Linked DNA regions of Arabidopsis thaliana. The protein of the gene in region 1 interacts with the protein of each later gene in a pairwise test. Each region holds a gene or a part of one and is shown on either strand. Other genes may lie near its edges. The genes, in order: UBC30, MUB4, RGLG3 and ATGP4.

Region 1 (4,771 bases):
CGGTTTTTGCATCGCGTGTATTCGTGTATTTCGCATTAACTGTTGAGTTACACTGTTACCTCATGCGTTTCTTTCTTAAATGTCATCAATATTTGAAGCTTCGTATGGTCGACCAAACTTAACCGAATTCAACATTTTGATTTAAATTTATAAACACTTCTTCTTCGAATTTATTTATTTCCCCCCAAATAATCACTTGTTTCTGATGCACATCAGACCTCACCCAACCAAAAACGCGTTCTAATGGTGAAGTCACACGGAATTCATTTTTTTATTTAACAGCTATATACATTATGTATCTTTGTCAGCTATGAAAAAGACCGAATAAGTAGCTAAATTCGTAAACCAGTTAAATATAACTTGTTCCAAACCCAATTTGAAATTTTCAAATAAAAAAGAAAGAGAAAACCGTACAAATGGATCAAGTCAATAGTCATATTCAGTTGTTATTCTATTCTCAAGACTTTTATAGTAGTTTGCCAATAGGAATCTAACACCGTATAAACTTGTCACGATCACCAAAATGTGTTGGTCCAACTCCAATCTAATTTCACAATCACTATTATGCGCAAATGTTTTATTATCTGCAAACTTATGTGATATTCTTCTACACTACTAGCAAGGGACTCATCATGATAGCGGATTATTGGCTTAAAAGCATTTGCAAGATCTCAATGTTTCAAATAAGGCATAAAGCTCATGTACACACCCAACACACAGCTTCAAGATATAATTAAAAAAAAAAAACTAATAAGCAAAAGTAGCCAAAGTAAAAGCCAAACTGAGTTTTTTTCTTTCTTTCTTATTTCTCCTGTTTAATACGCAATGTACTGGTGGTGGGTATTATTGCTTGTTATCATCCCATTGCATACTTCTGAGTCCAGGATTGAGCTGTGGACTCGTACTTGACTCGGTCTGTCTTGTAGATGTGCGCTATTTCAGGAACCAAAGGATCGTCAGGGTTTGGATCCGTCAGCAATGAGCATATCGACAGAAGAACCTGCGGAAATTGCACCACCAACTTTAGTTCTTCAGCTTATATGCAAATAAAAGATTATCATTGTCTCGCTAATGAGAGTCATTAAACAAATTAAATCTAGATAACATGTCATCAACAGCGATAATGAAGGCCTTTAAACATTATAACATAATGTAACACTCCTATTAAAAGAGATAACTAGAATTTACTTGACTAATCCATATCACAGCATTTAGACAAGGGTACAAATAACAGAGCTCAATCTTTTATGATAATGGCCTTGACTATATCCAAGGGATTGCGATGTTGTTTGTTCATAAAACCAATGTAAAGAGAGGTTGGTCAAAGAAGATAATCACATCAGAGAACGAACTAAGACATGACCATTTAACTAAGACATGGTCACAAGAAGGTGTGGTGGAAAATAGACTAATGCTATACTAAAAAGTAAGGAAGTGAAACAATTTGATCACCTTGGATACGGTAAGTGCAGGGCTCCACTGCTCTTTCAGAATGTCAAGACAGATACTTCCATTACTGTTGATGTTTGGGTGATAAACCTTGGTCCGGAAGGCAACCTGCATCATAAACAATGAAGGTTTATTGCCACAAAAAGCCTACTTGATTGAACACTCTCTCTAAATCATAATGGTGTGGATGAACAAATTCATTAAGCTACACAAATAAACATAACAAAAAACAAAAAACTTCTGTTACCTTTGGTGGCTTGAAAGGGTAATCTGGTGGGAAGTGAATGGTAACAAGAAACACACCTCCGGCAAACGGGCTATCTGCTGGACCCATGATAGTTGCTTGCCATTGGAACATATCATCTCCCGTAGGACCTAATAACATCACCAATTCATTAAAATCTAAATAGCTCATAATGTATCTTAAGGACAAAAAAAAAAACATTCTCCTAAAACTGATTCTGAGGTTAATGCTACATCATCTACTGAATCTATCAAAGTGGTTCTTTAAATTTCACAGTAGATATCATAGATTAAAACACTCACCTGCACTGCAGGACACAGGAGGATCTCTTTGCAAGTCCCTAAGCTCTTTGTTAATTCTTTTCGACGCCATTGAATAGTCCTAGCTTCTGCTAGCTAGGAACAAAATCAAATCAAAAAAATTACTATACTGCTACAAGTACAGATGCAAAAGCAGTACACAGCAAAAACCAGTTAACATATGGAGCAAGAACATAGCTATCCTAAAAGGAAAGACTTTATGCAAATCAGCTTTGATAATTAGCCTAAGATACACCTCCTGAAGAAATCAACCAGAAAAATCTCGAAATCAAACACTCAAGCCCAAGAGACAATCCGATCAGAATTCGATCAAACAGAGAGAAAATCAACGAACAATTCAGAAACAGATCAAGCAATTACGCATCAGTTAAAGGTAAATCATCAGAAGTAGGTACGAGAATATTCTAGAACCAAGATAACAGAAAAAACACATGGATCGACGCAAGGAAACAAAACCGCGAGAGAATCAAACGACGAAGATCAAGAACTGGGAAACGAATAAACCCTAAGAGTAACGATGATTCAAATCGAAATCGAGATTTATCGGAGCTAATTTTGACCTACCTTTTGTTCGGTTTCTAGGGTTTTGGATTTGATGATCTTCGGAAATCTCAAGGGGTTGTTTTGAAGATGAAACTTGTTAGCATCGATACGGTTTATATAGATTCCTCTCTTTCGAGCGGTGAAGCTTTGCCACGTAGCGAGCTAGATTCTGTACTTATGGGCTATAATAAGGCCCAATCGTTTACTGACGGAGCCCATTGACTCTTTTGTCCATAATAAGAAACGTTATGCAAATTTGGAAAAAGAAAATAGAAGAAGGATTAAACAAGAAATTTTCAAAAAAGAAACAGGAAATCAAAAGAAAATGATATTTATTTCAGATTGCAAAGATTTGGTACCTTAAGGGGAAAAGGGAAAAGTGGAAAACTTATCACAATTTTTTTTGACATATGTTCCTTTTGTTCTTAAAAAACTTTCTTATATGAAAAGAAAAACACTTTCTTATATGCAAATAAAATCTATACATTACAAAAATTGTTATGCATTTGCATATTACTAATAAAGTAGTATTTGTGAATGGTAGATTTCATATGTAAGATGTTACTCTTACCAAATTCGATAGGATTTTAAAATTATCTTTTATATAAAGTACATAACAATTTTTGAATAGGCCTTTTTTGTAAAACAGTAAAGGAAAGCTACCTTGCATCACAAGAAACTAGGTTATAAGGGTCACAGGCCATTAAACCGATTGACATATGGGTATACTAACCGATTTACTTAAATATATAGATCTGTTTAAAGTTTAATCAAGTAATCTTTCAATGTTGAAAACAGAGTTGACATGTAATAGAAAATGTCGACTTCCAGTAATAAAAATGTGAAAAATACTCGAGAACAGAACATTTGCTTTACATAATTCCACATATCATATTGAAACAAGCTTTACTTTGACGTTTATGTATCCAAAACATATTATGATTATTATCATTACCAATACCAGACACAAACCATCATCATGATTTAATGTTTTCTTTTTGCTAAAACAACAAATAAACAAAAAACTTAAAAGAAAACTGTTGGAACCCAACTTTCCAGACATAAAAACATAAACAAAAACAAAATCAAAGTCTCGGAGAGAGACAGAGACTCATCAGCTCTTGTGTTTCCGTTGCAATTTTGTCATCTGATCTCTCTCCGGGACAATGATACATAGACTGACAAACACATTTCATAAATCATATATACAACATTTCTACCCCAAGGACAAGAGACAGTACCGTGTCGTCAAGAGTGGTATGGCCTTTTTGTGTCGACTTTTGGATCGGTTTCATATTGCTTTATGATCACAGCCAAACTGTTCGATGGTTTTTACCCTTCTCTTGTTTTGGCTCTCTTCATACCAAGGCTATTGTAAGGAGAAACAGAACCGGACATTGGAGATCCTTCTTCACGAAGAGTTCCATTGAGCAATGCTAGCTCGCGCAGCTGTTGTTTCTTGTACATATCATGGGTTTCCTCCTATAAAACAGAAACCGAGTGTGAAAACTTTGTAACAATAACTGGTTTAAAATCAAAGGGAGGGGGAGAGCTAAAAACAAACCATAGGAGTAAGAAGATCGTCAAGTATTTCCCGAGCTTGCATGAGCCGTGCATCGACTATTTCAATCGGTAATTCTGCTTCCACTAAGATATGAAGTGGTTCATTTAGGTGCTCGTATCCCGGTTTTCCTCTCATCATTTCCTCCTACAAGAAGAAATATATTAACACCTTGTACAAACATTGAAATGTAGATACAAATGAAGTTGTAAAGTTTAATAATAAATACCTTAATTGGATCTTTTATACTTCCTCTTCCTCTTATAAGAACACGGCAATCAGTACTTGCTTCAACTCGCTTCAGGGAGTTTCCTCTAGGACCCAGGAGGCGACCAACAAAATTGAACTGCCATATAGAAAATTAAGGAGTTACATTCCAACCAGGAAGTAGTATATCTCAGTGTAGAAATGAAAGTTCATACATTCGGATAATTGTCGACTGGAATATCGACCCTGATTGTACGCTTGGCGATGAGACCGGACGAACTACCAGGTGAGTTAAGCCAATTTGGTCCCGGAGATGATGGAACAGATCTCTGCAAATGATCAACCAACAAAATTAGAAGCAAGATCAACCTTTAAGCATAAGCACATGAATACTGCAACTTCTTGCCCTGGAACTTCATTCAATGAGAGTGGTCACTGTATCAAGGC
Region 2 (4,516 bases), on another chromosome or scaffold:
TTCTTGTTCAAGCATCCATTTGAAGTTGTTTTCACTATCTTACTTCTTGAGCATTGCTTTAAATAGGACACGCCCCTGGGCCAGCGGTGGTGAAGGAGTTGCAGGGACAACATGTCATATTGAGAGACTGCATCGAACAGCTAGGGGCAATGGAGACATCCAGAACAAGTCTTATCTCACATTTGAGAGAAGCTTTACAAGAACAGGTTTACATTTATACATTTTCTTTCAAAACAACATCTTTCATTGCACCGGCCAGAAACCTCACCTTGTTTTTGTTTTTGTGTCCAGGAACTCAAGCTGGAGCAAGTCCGTAACCACCTTCAGGTTTGAATACTTACCAACAAATGTGATATTTGTTCCTCAGACATTTTATACATTTCAATTTACACAATACATCATAACGTTCTCAATAGTACTTTCCGAGACATGCTGGTCTAGCTTCAAGCTTGTTTAGTGAATTTGTTCAAGGAAGATAGACCCAAATCTAATTAGGGTTCTTGGTTGCCTTTCCAAACAGAATGTTGCCTTGTCTTTATGCTATTTAGTTGAATTGATTTCATTTGTGCTACGATTTCAGATTGCTCGGTTTCAATCAGACCGAACTGGTGATCTCTGCAGACAGCTTCTAGACCATGGTGGTAGTTCACAGCCTCCTGCTACAGAAGAAGAAGAGTCAAAAGAAGTTATCAAAGTTTCATCCACTGCAGCAGCACCACAAAGCTTCACACACAGCGATGTGGAACAATCTGCACCAGTTATGTTTGCCTCAAACCCAACTCAATCGCTGGAAGACCCAAGAAAAACTGCTGCTGCTGCAGTGGTAGCTAAGCTAACTGCTTCAACTTCCTCAGCCGAGATGCTCTCCTATGTTCTCTCCTCCTTAGCCTCCGAAGGCATCATCGGAAACAACAACCCACCTGCTGTAACAGAAACTCTATCATCCGTCGATTTCCCACCAGAGAAAAGACCTAAGCTTCAAAATCATGACCAGTCGTATCTCTCACCGCACCATCAGAACACTGCAACAACATCATCCTCCACACCCCCACAACCGCTTCCACCACCACCACCATTCCAGCTTCAACCTCAGTTTTTGCAGCCGTTACAGCCTCCCGGGCCAGTAAACCACACACCATTCAACTACACCATAGCAACCTCTACTGCAACCACTCAGCAACAACAACAAGAACAAGGTCCTTGGGTACCTGGGCTCACTCAACTTTCAACAACCTCTGCTCCATCGGAGAATTCATACCAGAAGTTTCAGGGACAAGATGGTTTCTATGGCATTAACTCATCTGTGCCTATTACACCTGTCACTCGCCAGTAGTGTAAATCTGTTCGTAGGGGTTCATATAGCAAAAAGTTCACTTTTTTTTTTGGTTTTTTTTTGTTAAATATAGTTTCAATGGGCTTTTGATAATTAGGATTTTATGTTCTTAAAATGTGCTTTGTATGCTTTCTAATTGTGCGTCTAATCCAAGGTTTCAACTCTGTAAACATATCATAAAAATCCTTTGTTTTGCTCTGAGATTTTACTATTGTTGGAAGATTCTATAGATTTTCAAATTTTCTTGTTCCTCTCTTTGAAATTTACATGGAAGTCAGATTTGGACCAAAGTGATTTGTTGCTCGTCTTTTAAAGTCTTCTGGTCAAAACGCCGACAAGGCTTTGCTTTTGACTAATAAAGAAACATACTTTTCCACAATTTTCTTGTCTTTTTATCTTATTTCCTTACTCGTCAGGGATTCCCTGTAACGCGGCAATCCTGACGAAAGACATATCAGAAACTTTGATAGAATCACATAGCAGCAATCTCTTAGCTGGATTTTACCAGCTTCACTTTGAGATTAGGTCATTTACCCTTTTAAGGGTTTCTCTCCTACTTTCTTGATTCTCTTCATTCCCAAGACTCAAAACCTAGCAAACTTGGACATTTGGATTGAGTGTCTCTAGTCCGGGTAAGATTTGTGTGTTGTGGTAACTTTATCTGACGGTTTAGGAGCTTAGGTTGCTTAGATGAGTTCCAAGTTTTTATTTTTCTTTTGCTTATTGTTCTTCTTGTTCCTTTGGTCCAAGTTCTTGATTTGGACAGTAACTGAAAATTTCCTAATTGATTCCTTTAAGTTTGACTGTGCTCTTATTACTAGTCTTCTCTAAATATTTTTGTTCTTTGCTTCGACAATTTCATTGATGCTTTGAATTTGAGAATCTCTCTGTCCTCTTATTATTATAGGTCTCATTTGGGTGGATTCTTTCTGGTGAAATCTTTCTTGTGAGAGTTTTGTATTGGGAGAAAGAGATAATCAAATGCCGGAGGAAGATTTGGTAGAACTGAAATTCCGGTTATATGACGGTTCAGATGTTGGCCCGTTTCAGTACTCTCCAACCGCCACAGTGTCAATGCTTAAGGAGAGAATTGTCTCTGAATGGCCTAAAGGTTAGCACCGAGCACAATCTTTTGGTTTGTTTTTCGGCTAATCCGTGAAAAAGAAGTAAAAATGCGATAGAAGTGCTCTTTAATGCTTTAGATTTGGCTTTAGAACGTTTGCTTCAGCCATTTTTTTTTTTCTTCAGTTTCTTCACTTGTGGCTTGATAGACAAAGTTCAGACATAAGTCATAGGATCTGATTGACTTACTAATCATTTGTCTTAAAGTAGGAACAGAAGAAGGAAGTTAAACTATTGATCTTTTAAAAGGTTACTCGATCTTGTGATCTATGTTTTAACAGTTTCTCCACTTGTGGTATAGGCTTTTGAATTGGTCTGATTGTATTACTAATCACTTGTCTTATACTACAAATCATGTCTTTAGAGACTATAGGGACGAATACTGTTCTGGTTCTTTTTAGTAGAATTTCTTGATCTTACTCTTCAGTCTTGTGCATTCAACAAAAAATTGAATTTGTCTCATTTTGTTTCCTATTGTATCTTATTGACTAATCGAATTTGGGGGTTTTGAATGTGTGTAGACAAGAAGATTGTTCCAAAATCAGCTAGTGACATCAAGTTGATAAATGCTGGTAAGATTTTGGAGAATGGTAAAACTGTTGCACAGTGTAAAGCTCCATTTGATGATCTCCCTAAATCCGTCATTACAATGCATGTTGTCGTGCAACTGTCTCCAACAAAAGCAAGACCAGGTCTTGTTCTTTCTTATCTCCGTAAATCTTGTTTGTGGAATGAATTCTTTAGCCTAATATCTTGTTTTTTCTTTCTCTTACAGAGAAAAAAATCGAAAAGGAAGAAGCCCCACAGAGAAGCTTTTGCTCATGTACCATAATGTGAGAACAACAACAAGTCCCAAGTCAAAAAATCTGAAAGAGTTAAGTTTTGATTCTCTGTGGTATTTGCTAAAAGACCATATAAACATAAACTACCGCTTCATATTCGACATTTTCTTCACAAGTTCAAAGAAACCTTCATCTATGGCGTTATAAAGCTAGTCTATTAGAGTTGTTTCTCTTGAGCTGTGATGGAAAAACTCTTGTTTGGAGCATCCTTTATAAAGATAAGAGTTTTGTTACCGCGAACTAATTCAAGTATCTCTGTAACATATCTTGTATGGTTTTGTCAATCTTTAGTACATTTTAGACCTGGTTTTTTTCTCTATCAGGATCCGCCCAAAACTGTATCCAAACATCTTTATCCAGTCCATTACCTACAGTGAAAACGAGTACTAAACGTTTGCAGTTTGGTTCTTGAGTGGCAAACACTTTGATATGTTACTATATGGTCCATACCTTTCTCATCATTTTCCACTTCCACAAAGCCAATGTTTTGGGGATGTAGGTAGATACAAACCTCCAAAAGAAACAGAGAGCATGAGATCTCAATAAATGTCCTTTCACCTAACTTATCACTGTCTCCCACTTAATTCTCTCATTTATAACCTTCACTTTCACTTAGTGTCTCTCCACTATCTTGTCTTGTTTCGCCTTTAATTCTATTCCTCTCCTCTGGCTCTCATTTATAATCTTCACTCCAAATGCACCTTTCTTTGTACTCCCATCACTTTCTCTTCGATATGGTATTTACTTTAATCCGATTCGAATATTGTAACTATGAAAAACAAAATGAATAGTAAAAATATCCGTTTCGTATCCAAGCCTATTTTTAAAAGACACGTTTGTATAACTCTCTCTATATATAGAAAGGAACCACGAAGCTCTTTCAAGAGAGTTCTATTCTTGTCTGAAAACTAGTTCCCTATATTTCTTCTTTCTTCACACACATATTCTCCAATTCTTACATAAATATCAAATAAACCAAACTTGAAACTTGTTGTGCTTAAGATGACGAAGAAATCACTGACAATGTTTCTTTTTATACTTCTGCAATTTCTGCTCGTAAACTCTCTATCTTCAAAGCATTCATCACCCAAACCAAAACCAGATGCAGAAATCACTATAATGGGTTTTGTTTACTGCGATGTTTGCTCCAAAAACAGTTTCTCTAAACACAGTTACTTCATGTCCGGTAGTAACTCAGAACAAAAAGATCTCTTTAATT
Region 3 (4,819 bases), 2.9 Mb from region 1:
CTTTTAACTTCAACCAGCAATGGAACACTATGCGCAAGTTGCAAGGGAAGAGAAGCCGAGTTATATTGCAAAAACGTGTCTCAAGGTATGCTGCCGTTTTTCCCTTTCCTATAGACTCTTTGATATATCTATAAAATTTGATACTTTCGTTGTGTTATTCAGTGGCTGAGCTTGAAGAGGTTTTTGGGAGGCTGTGGACACAGTGCCAGGAGTGTCAAGGCTCTCTTCATCAAGATGTCTTGTGCACCAGGTTTGCTTATATTTTTATCGATATCAATTTCTTTTAGAAATCTTTCAGCAGGTAAATAGGTTCTGATCCAATTTCCTTTCTGGATTTCTTATTGGTCTTTTACAGTCGAGATTGTCCAATATTTTACCGGAGAATGAAAGCACAAAAAGACATGGCTGTAGCCAGGCAACAACTCGACCGTTGGAGCTTCTAATAAGTATTTAAGGTTGTTTTTAGCTCTCTCTTTTTTCCATTGGTATCGTTGCTGTTACACTTTCCGCTTGATTTAGAACTTGTAGGTCTCTTTGGAATGTTATAAAAAGGACCTCTTCGGCTTATTTGTACGTAGCTGTTGATTAATACAAAAAGAGAACTCTTCTCGCATATCTCCTTGTTTCGGCAGGCTAAGAATTACATATGAACTACAACTCGAGATTTATGCTTTACAATTCTTCTGCTTGGACTGTACAATGTTCTACAGAAGTATAAACATGAAGCTCAAGTGCTTAACCATATAATTTGTCTCATCTCTAAGAATTTTTCCGAGTCAAGTGTACAGCCTTATCCTTGTTGTTATTGGTTGTCTGCATAGTGGGCATGTTGTGATAACAACTCCGCATTCCTTGCATGTCTTTATTTGAAATAAAAAGTATCGGAGATGTCACAAAATCGATCTAGAAGCAGTACAGTTCATAGAACAAGTAAGAGTATAATTGTTCCTTTGAAATTTTCACATACCGTGTGACCGCAGCTAAAAGCCATGTCCTTTGGATTCGTCAAGCAAATCGGGCATACCTTTTTGAAAAACAAAAGGAATGTAAATCTCAGTATCAGAGAAACTGAGTATACTCATTGACAAAAGAACAGAAACAAAGGCAGAAATAATAGAGTATTTACCGGCACTGTGGAAGGAGCGAGTCTGTCACTTTTCTCTGCAGTTTCTGTCATCTGATTTGGCACCGATCTAACAGCATTGTCACGCTCTATAACCTCTGGTGGTGGCGGGAGTGGCTTGTGGTGCTGATGGGAACTGCGCACTGGTTTTCTACTGTTCATAAGCACAATCAAAGGTTGGTTTAGTTGGCAAAGAATCTAATGCAATAAGACCATAAACAGTGAGTGATACAAGTAGTTTCCAACGGTAAATTTTTTATTGCATTTACTTGAGACTTAATGTAGCCTTGTATTGAAAAGGGATCTCCATGAGAGCTGCGAGTGCGAAAGCAGCCTCCTTCTTAGCCGCATCTTTGTGCTCTGACATTATCTTCGTGAAGTTTACAAACTGTGGAACAAAACACAGTTTTTCATGATTCATGTTTCAGGAACAAAACAGAGCTATTCAGGGTTTTATTATATTACCTGGAAGTTATCGAATTCACGGTGAGGAATATTGTCATCGAATTGTTTCATTGTGTCCCATGGTCCATCTCCTACTCCAACCAAGACTATCGACAATGGGTAATGGCTGGAAAATTTATATCAAACATCATTAGTATACATATGAAGTCTGATCATGAATATGAGCTTATTGAATAGTTTTACCTCGCTGCCATTATCGAGTTCATAGTAGCTTCTTCCTGTGGACTAAGTCGACCAAGCGGCACATCTGGATTTCTTGTGACCTGACCATCTGCGATAATGACGAGAACATGGTATTGCATATTGTTCTGCTCAACTATGTTGATGGCAGCATCAATAACCGGTGCAAACGAGGTAGGACCTGTGAGGGAAGAATACACTGATTAATCTTTACGATAAGAGAGAACAAAACTGCTCCATTTTTGAAAGTTCAAAAATACCGGACAACTTCAAATGTGGGACAATCTCTCTATATCTTTTAACTGCGTTTTCCAATCCGTCGCAGCTTTTGTTCTCGGGATAAAAGCTGAATACATATTGATCTCGCGTTGTTACTGCAGGAAGAAGAAAACATAAAACCATTAAGAACTTTGGTTTATCTTATTCATTCATCTTGAAAGCAAGAAATAAGAAACTAACCATCGCCAAAACCGAAACAAGGTATAAGATCATCTTCATCAAAGGGAGACAAAGTACGACCAATAATCGATATTGCTTTCTCATATGGATTCTGTCTTTTACCAATGGCATGAAGGCTTTTTCTATTGAATGAATATCTCCCTGCAATGAAAATTCAGAACATTAACCAAAACCATTGAATCTTTTCGTAAACATGTGTAGCATTTTTTATCAAATCAAATAATTACCTGTCCACTCATTGCTCTTGGTAAAGTCAATTCCTAGAATCAGATTTGAAGATTCAAGTCCAGCTTCTCTCAGAGAAGTTATCACCTAAAAAGCAAAGTTCACAAGAAATTCATCACTATGAAAGAGACTAAAATCAAGAAATAACTAAGTAAGTTTATGAGACCTGATCCAAACTGCTGAAATGATCAGCAATATACGAAGGTTGCTGATTACGTTTATTGCTCATGTTCATTGAAAAAACCCTGCAGCACAAGAACCTTCAGAAATCCAATCTTTGGAGAAGAAACCAATCAAAATCAAGAATAAAAGATACAGTTACACAAGTGGCAAGTATATATCAACCTGGAGTTTGTTGAAAACACAAAAGACTTCTCGGAATCTTTCTTGTAAGAAAAAACTTTTGTTGGAGATTATCTTCTGTAGGAAGATTAAATTATTAAAAAGATGGCACAAAAGAGAAATATGAACATATAAAAATACTTTAGCAGAAAAAAATGAACATATAAAACTATAGAAAGTGGGTTTTGTTGAATCTTGAAAGTTAGTGGAACGTGACCCTTTGCTTGCGCCGGCAAATAATCAAAACGTATTTTGCTCTCTCACACGCCATCATCAATCTAGAAATCTTTTTTAGTCTTGTCTCTGCGTCATTAATGATTTATCCATAACCCAAAATCATAGACCAAATTTCAACATGATTCATGTGGACAACGTGGCAAAGCTGTAGCTCTTGTCTGAAGAAAATTATTTGGGCTTTTGATTCCCTCAAAATATATTAACCCAGAACCGTTTTTATTGGGCTTCTTCATTCATCAAGAAGCCTTTTTGTATCTTCACCACCTATAAATTCACTTATGTTTCAACCACAACATCCACGTGCGATTAGCCCAAAACTCAACAACCAATCTACGAAGATCACTAAAGTTTTTTATTTTTATGATTTTCACCGTTTGTACTTGTTCTTTCAATTGGTGCCACATGGACCCCTAAACCAACAGAGCAAATATGGCCTTTCTTGATCTAAAATAAAGTTTAGGGTTTAAGTTCAGAGAATAAATAAGTACACTGGTGTAAATGGGAAATTCAAAAAAGTAATAATAATTGTCTCTGCAATCAGAAAATGTGAAGACATATATTTATCTTCTTGAAAAGCGAATGATGTCTATAAATTGTTTTCGAACAGCGAAGGCTCCGCTTCAATCATTTGTAGCAGTAAGAACGAATTCGAGACCTAGAAATTCATCGAACCGTCTCGTTTCTGTATTCGGACGCAAGTCTTCTTCTCCTTCATTTGTTACTCTCAGAGTTGTTTCATCGATGGCTTACGAGAAAGAGCTTGATGCTGCTAAGAAAGCTGCTTCACTCGCTGCTCGTCTCTGTCAGGTTAGGGTTTTTTCGATTCAATCATGACCCATAGATTCTAAAGTTTGATTCTTTAAGAAACCCATTTTGTAAATCTTCCAAATTTCGTTTAACATTTTGTGTTTATTGTGCATTGCATCTGTAATTGGGAATAGATTCTAGTGATATAGTGTAATGGTCCTCTACATACGAAGCTCGTGTAAATCTTTGATCAAAATCTTATCTTTGTGTTTTGGGTTTGTTTCAGAAAGTTCAAAAGGCTTTGTTGCAATCAGATGTGCAATCAAAATCTGATAAAAGTCCAGTGACCGTTGCTGATTATGGTTAGTTTGTTATACCTGTCCCTGATTAGAAAAAGCTCTTCTCTTTGAATGTTACTGAGATTGTTAGGAAATCACTTAATTTGATCTGTCTTGTGTTGAATTTCAGGTTCACAAGCAGTTGTTAGTTTAGTCTTAGAAAAAGAGCTCAGTTCTGAACCCTTTTCATTGGTGGCTGAAGAGGTGAAACTGCTTAATAAATCCTTGTTAGATGTCTCACACTTTACTTATCTTTGAGTTTGTGTTTATGGACTCACATTGTCTAAAATGATCTATATAGGACTCAGGCGATCTACGCAAGGATGGTTCTCAGGATACTCTGGAGCGCATCACAAAACTCGTGAACGACACTTTGGCTACCGAGGAATCGTTTAATGGCTCTACTTTGTCTACTGATGATCTACTTAGAGCCATTGACTGTGGAACATCTGAAGGTGGTCCAAATGGTCGACACTGGGTCTTGGATCCAATTGATGGCACTAAAGGGTACGTTTTAAAACTAACTAGCCTAAAGTCAAATCTTCTTATTTCAGAGAAAATGTAAATTTGATAGAATGTTGAGTCAGATGTTATGTTCCTGACACTGAGCATTTTCATGATTTTAGATTTCTGAGGGGAGATCAATACGCAGTAGCACTAGGATTGCTCGAGGAAGGGAAAGTAGTTTTAGGTGTGCTTGCTT
Region 4 (4,512 bases), on another chromosome or scaffold:
TAATTTATCCATCAACAGCCCAATCTTTTTAGCGCCACGCATAAAGCTTGGCTCCCTTTTTTGGTTTTTTTTCTCCTCGTTTTAAATGTTAAAACTAGGTTGTTTTACTTGTGTTTTGATATTTTTAACTATTGTTTGTAGTACATGTGTTTGATTCAATTTAGTTTCATATTGCCATCTTTCTGCAATTCTTTTTTTTTTTAATGTAGATAAGTACATACCATTGTTATGACTTTTTTTAGTTTATGTTGGTATTTATAAGTAGCTAGGTTATGACTTGTGTCATATATCATGTGTTATTACATCATGCCTCTGTTCGAGACTACGTCGCCTTCATCCATCACTACTCTTCCTGTCTGTCTGATCGGAACCGCAACTCCATCCTCTTACCTTTTCCCAACCTAAAACAAAAAGAGATGAATTTTCTGTTCGAAGTGATGTTCAGAGTTCATGAATTCATTAATTACATTTACGGGCCAGCCAGAATTTGGCCATTTCGCAAATTCACCTATACTAAAACGGTGTGAAAGGAAGAACGAAAAATACAAAGGCACAATCTTTTTTAAAAATAGATAGATATATAATTATCTTCATCACACGTAACGTAATGGACCTAGTAACCTATACAGCTTCCATACATTGGGAAAGTAAGAAGAAAAAACAAATAAGGGACAAAGAGTTACTTGAAAAGAATTTATAGTTCATTTTCTACACATTCAAAGATGATAAATAACTCCACAGCTTAAAGGGAAGCTTTACTTTACTTTTAGCTTTCTTTTTTTGATTTTGTTTTCTTCTGTACCGGAAGAATTGAAACGATGTGTATGATAGATACATTGGTCTTCCTCCCTTCACAAAATGGTGCATGTGCAGATTACTGCCTTTGGTGCTTTATCAACCTTCTTCTCTGTTTAATCAAAAACCAGTATTCAACTGTTAGTTAGCTTTCATCAACAAACGTCTTAGTAATCACAAACTCACTTTCCACGACTTTCTCAAGTTTGTGAAAAAACAAATTATGCAGACAAATCTCAAAGACTGGCAAAAGTTTTCAGTGGGGTTTACAAGGAGATGACGACCAATAATGAATTCAGGTATTCCTTTCCTCATGGCATGCTTTGCTAAGCTTAGAGCTGATTTTTGCTTTATTTCACACAAAGAACACACCAGAAACCTAGGAATGAATTCTAGGGTATCCTTTACTCTCTCTCAAGACAAACAAACCAAATTTAGACAAAACCACTAATCACCTGATAGGTTGATTGAGTCAGTACCATAGGCTGTTAGAAAGAAAAAGAATGTACTGATCTTAGTCACCGACTAACTTTCTGATGTGCATGAACACTCTTACGAAATCTTACCAGCCTCAATTAATATAAGTATGACTAGAGCTAGATATTATAAGACGTAAAGTTGAGCCAGATAAATGAATACCATAATCCATACAGTTGACAAGATAAATACCACAAGACTAATGAAAGATTGAGGAACCTCTAAGGACACATATATCTCCATGAAACGGGAATTCTCTGATATAAAAGACATGAAGAACATTACACATAGACAAACAACTACCTGTTTTGGATTTAGCTAGAGAAGGCTGTACAACAACATGCATCACAATGACTCCACCAGCAATATCTCCAAATGGTGTCTTACACTGCCCAACAGTCTTGTTGTTCTCCAAGATCTTACCCGAGCTTATCAGCTTCACTTCGTTTATCCCCTTTGGAACAACTGTTTTGCCTAACCAAAACCACAAAAAAATTGATGCTTGGATCAACCTCAAATCACAGAGACTTGGCTTTTCTCATACATCAAGCTTATAACATCTCAAATGAGCTAATAATAATTCATCTACAGCTCTAAATTTCGAATTTCTACCGACAATTGCAGGATTCAGTGACAATCAACACGAAATTCGTGGGAAGATCATGAATAAAACCAGGATCAGATTGGGGAAAAAGGGGCACCGATTCAAAAAACCTTAAAACTAACCTTTGGGCCAATCAGAGACGACCCTCTGCTTCAAAAAGTCAACAGTAGAAGCCGCAGAATACCGAAAAGGCCCGATATCGGAGCCATCGTACAACCTGAATTTGATATCTATCGATTCTTCCTCCGGCATATCCGTTGACTTCTCTCTGACCTCCGATTACCAACCAAATTCCAGCTCCGATCACCAATCCCGCTTCTCAAACACAACTATTTCAGATCTGAAAATAGGTCTGAAAAAAAGTAGACAGGAACGAGAATCAGAGCTCGCTTCGAAACGGGATAGAACAAAAAAACAAAAAACAAAAAAGAGGAAGAATCAAACACACAGAATCGAAGCTTCCTCCGAAATCGTGTTTCGGATCTTTGATTTTGAGGTGTGAAAAAAGCGAAAGAAGGAAGAAGAAAGAGCTTGCTTTTTTCAAGAGTCACCAAATATCAAAGTTCCTTCTCAAGCCGACGGTTTTCACTTTTTTCCTTCCTTTTTTTTTTCCCCTTTCTTTTCGTCGTCACTTCTACTTCTTCTCAAGCCGACGTCTTCAACTTTTATTGTCCTAGCCAAAAACGCTGTCGTTTTATTCGAATTTACCTGTCTAACTGTTCCCACTTCCCACCATACTTTTTTTTTCTTCTTCTACAATAATATAATTCGTTCTGATTTTGGCAGTATTGTGTGGTTAAGACATCATAATTCTGATTTTAGTAGGGCTCCAAATCTTATACGAGTCGGCCAATATATAATATATTAGTTGTATGCAACAAAACAAAACGATGGAAACTTTCCAATACTTATTTCTACAAGTTGACACTTCTTCACTTGAACTCTTTTCTTTCACTGGAGTTGTATCCTTTAACACCACTAGTGCTCTTTTTATTTAGGTATTCTTTATCATTTTATATTTCATTATACATATCTTTAGATACTGCCAAAATGTTTTATTAAAAAGGAAGAAGATACATTCGATTACTTTTCTTATGATTCGAGTTATGCGTTACTTCTTCTCCCAGACAGCAAAGTCAAGGCCTGAATAAGCTAAAGCAAAATTAGAAGGAACAAGTGTTCCCACATCTTGCTTTGGTCCAATCTTCATGATAACTTTATCATCAATCATAGCCAAGTAGAGATCCGCCTCTGCCGCTTTTATCGTTACAGAGCTTGTGCTACCAATCCCATTTTTGTTCCTGATAGCCACCAGCTTTGAGATGCTCTCTTTTAGTCCCCATTCTATGTAATGATTATAAAACTGCAACAAAAATAACATATCAACAAGATTGTAGTTGTAAATAGTATAGCTACATACTAAAATGATACTTACAATGCAAGGAGTTCCTGGATGAGTAAGTATATAAACGTATCCAAGCAAGACTTTATCAGAAGGGAAAACCCACGTTCTGAATGTATCATGGTTATCTATGAATGTGACAGCGTTTCCGGGCATGATTCCTATCATACCAGGCGGTTTTCCCTGCGAGTCCTTTAGTCTCCAAAGCTCACCTTTGACAGCAGACTGTAAGATCCCTTTGGTGGTGAAATCAAAAGCTGTCAACACACCACCACCCGCTTCCTCGATCCACTGTTTGAGACCCGACCGATGCTCGTTCTGATCATAGTCTAGTTTCCCGTCTCCTCCGTACTTCATATCGTCCCATTTCTCACCCACCGCAAAATCCGGTGATGTATTCTGTGTATCCAAAAACAGAGGAATTTATCACATAATCAGTAGTGAACTTTCTTATATATTTCTTATTGATTGCATTGACTTATGTTTCTTATATACTAAATAGTAGTAAATAACCCTATCAACCTATGATACTTATATATACTAATAGTAAATAATTATCTCAACCTATGTTTCTTATATACTAATACTGTTGTCTGATATTTGAGAATTCATATGTGATTTACCTGAACGTATAATTTGGTGATGGAAGATGCATAACCTCGAACATAATCAAATCTCCAACCATGGAATCCGATTTCAGTTTTAAGCCAATTCATCCATTCGGACAACTCTTTCTGAACTCTAGGGTTAAGGTGGTCGATGTCGGGCGCTCCATCAAAATCTCCTCCGGTGTCGAGGTTTCCGGTACCGGGAAATTTAGGGTCATTGCGGCAGACAAAGGAAGGATCCCAATCAAGACGATCATCGGAAGTCCCACCTTCGAAATAACAGTATCCACATTTATCGTCTTTCCTCTCAGCTGTTCTGTGGTTAATCACTATATCAGCCAAAGCTTTTATTCCTTTTTGATTCAACGCTTTGATTAACGATTTCAGTTCCGCCTCTGAACCGTATTTGGAGCTGTTTAGATCGTATAGCTTTCCCGGTAAGTAACCTGAGGAATGAAGATTGCGTGAGTAACAAGATTGGTATGTGAATGTGTAAAGAGTAAAGCAGAAATGGAACCTTCAGGAGCAACGGATTGAGAAGGAGGAGGAAGCCAAAGATGAGTGATTCCAGCGTTGGCTATGTCGTCAATGGAGTTGTGGAGAGAATTGTAGAATCCTCCTTCTTT

Evidence for each region.
Region 2: the proteins of UBC30 (region 1) and MUB4 interact in a two-hybrid assay, tested with the Arabidopsis thaliana proteins (one study listed by BioGRID).
Region 3: the proteins of UBC30 (region 1) and RGLG3 interact in a two-hybrid assay, tested with the Arabidopsis thaliana proteins (one study listed by BioGRID).
Region 4: the proteins of UBC30 (region 1) and ATGP4 interact in a two-hybrid assay, tested with the Arabidopsis thaliana proteins (one study listed by BioGRID).

Annotation. Positions count from the first base shown.
Region 1 is NC_003076.8:22,727,050-22,731,820, reverse strand, and holds UBC30 (ubiquitin-conjugating enzyme 30), read right to left. Parts: upstream 2,807-4,771; 5' UTR 2,578-2,806; intron 2,089-2,577; 5' UTR 2,066-2,088; coding exon 1,996-2,065; intron 1,825-1,995; coding exon 1,697-1,824; intron 1,558-1,696; coding exon 1,453-1,557; coding exon of another isoform or gene 1,420-1,452; exon of another isoform or gene 1,189-1,419; intron 1,001-1,188; coding exon 857-1,000; 3' UTR 506-856; downstream 1-505. Other genes in the region: AT5G56140 (RNA-binding KH domain-containing protein), read right to left, coding at 3,889-4,038, 4,121-4,264, 4,347-4,463, 4,540-4,653. UniProt on the Arabidopsis thaliana protein: Accepts the ubiquitin from the E1 complex and catalyzes its covalent attachment to other proteins.
Region 2 is NC_003074.8:9,945,243-9,949,758, reverse strand, and holds MUB4 (membrane-anchored ubiquitin-fold protein 4 precursor), read left to right. Parts: upstream 1-1,674; 5' UTR 1,675-1,965; intron 1,966-2,240; 5' UTR 2,241-2,314; coding exon 2,315-2,444; intron 2,445-2,976; coding exon 2,977-3,147; intron 3,148-3,230; coding exon 3,231-3,292; 3' UTR 3,293-4,003; downstream 4,004-4,516. Other genes in the region: AT3G26990 (ENTH/VHS family protein), read left to right, coding at 67-206, 292-327, 581-1,333; AT3G26960 (Pollen Ole e 1 allergen and extensin family protein), read left to right, coding at 4,300-4,483. UniProt on the Arabidopsis thaliana protein: May serve as docking site to facilitate the association of other proteins to the plasma membrane.
Region 3 is NC_003076.8:25,606,230-25,611,048, forward strand, and holds RGLG3 (Copine (Calcium-dependent phospholipid-binding protein) family), read right to left. Parts: upstream 3,078-4,819; 5' UTR 2,798-3,077; intron 2,759-2,797; exon of another isoform or gene 2,698-2,758; 5' UTR 2,688-2,697; coding exon 2,619-2,687; intron 2,540-2,618; coding exon 2,455-2,539; intron 2,369-2,454; coding exon 2,228-2,368; intron 2,143-2,227; coding exon 2,029-2,142; intron 1,950-2,028; coding exon 1,772-1,949; intron 1,695-1,771; coding exon 1,589-1,694; intron 1,512-1,588; coding exon 1,393-1,511; intron 1,278-1,392; coding exon 1,127-1,277; intron 1,025-1,126; coding exon 968-1,024; intron 861-967; coding exon 777-860; 3' UTR 542-776; downstream 1-541. Other genes in the region: AT5G63960 (DNA polymerase delta subunit 1), read left to right, coding at 18-85, 163-250, 356-443; SAL1 phosphatase-like protein, read left to right, coding at 3,773-3,838, 4,065-4,140, 4,247-4,320, 4,418-4,623, 4,743-4,819. UniProt on the Arabidopsis thaliana protein: Possesses E3 ubiquitin-protein ligase in vitro.
Region 4 is NC_003075.7:12,849,122-12,853,633, forward strand, and holds ATGP4 (Ubiquitin family protein), read right to left. Parts: upstream 2,690-4,512; 5' UTR 2,325-2,689; exon of another isoform or gene 2,229-2,324; 5' UTR 2,129-2,228; coding exon 1,999-2,128; intron 1,747-1,998; coding exon 1,576-1,746; intron 908-1,575; coding exon 852-907; 3' UTR 530-851; downstream 1-529. Other genes in the region: AMY1 (alpha-amylase-like protein), read right to left, coding at 2,988-3,239, 3,312-3,677, 3,902-4,332, 4,404-4,512. UniProt on the Arabidopsis thaliana protein: May serve as docking site to facilitate the association of other proteins to the plasma membrane.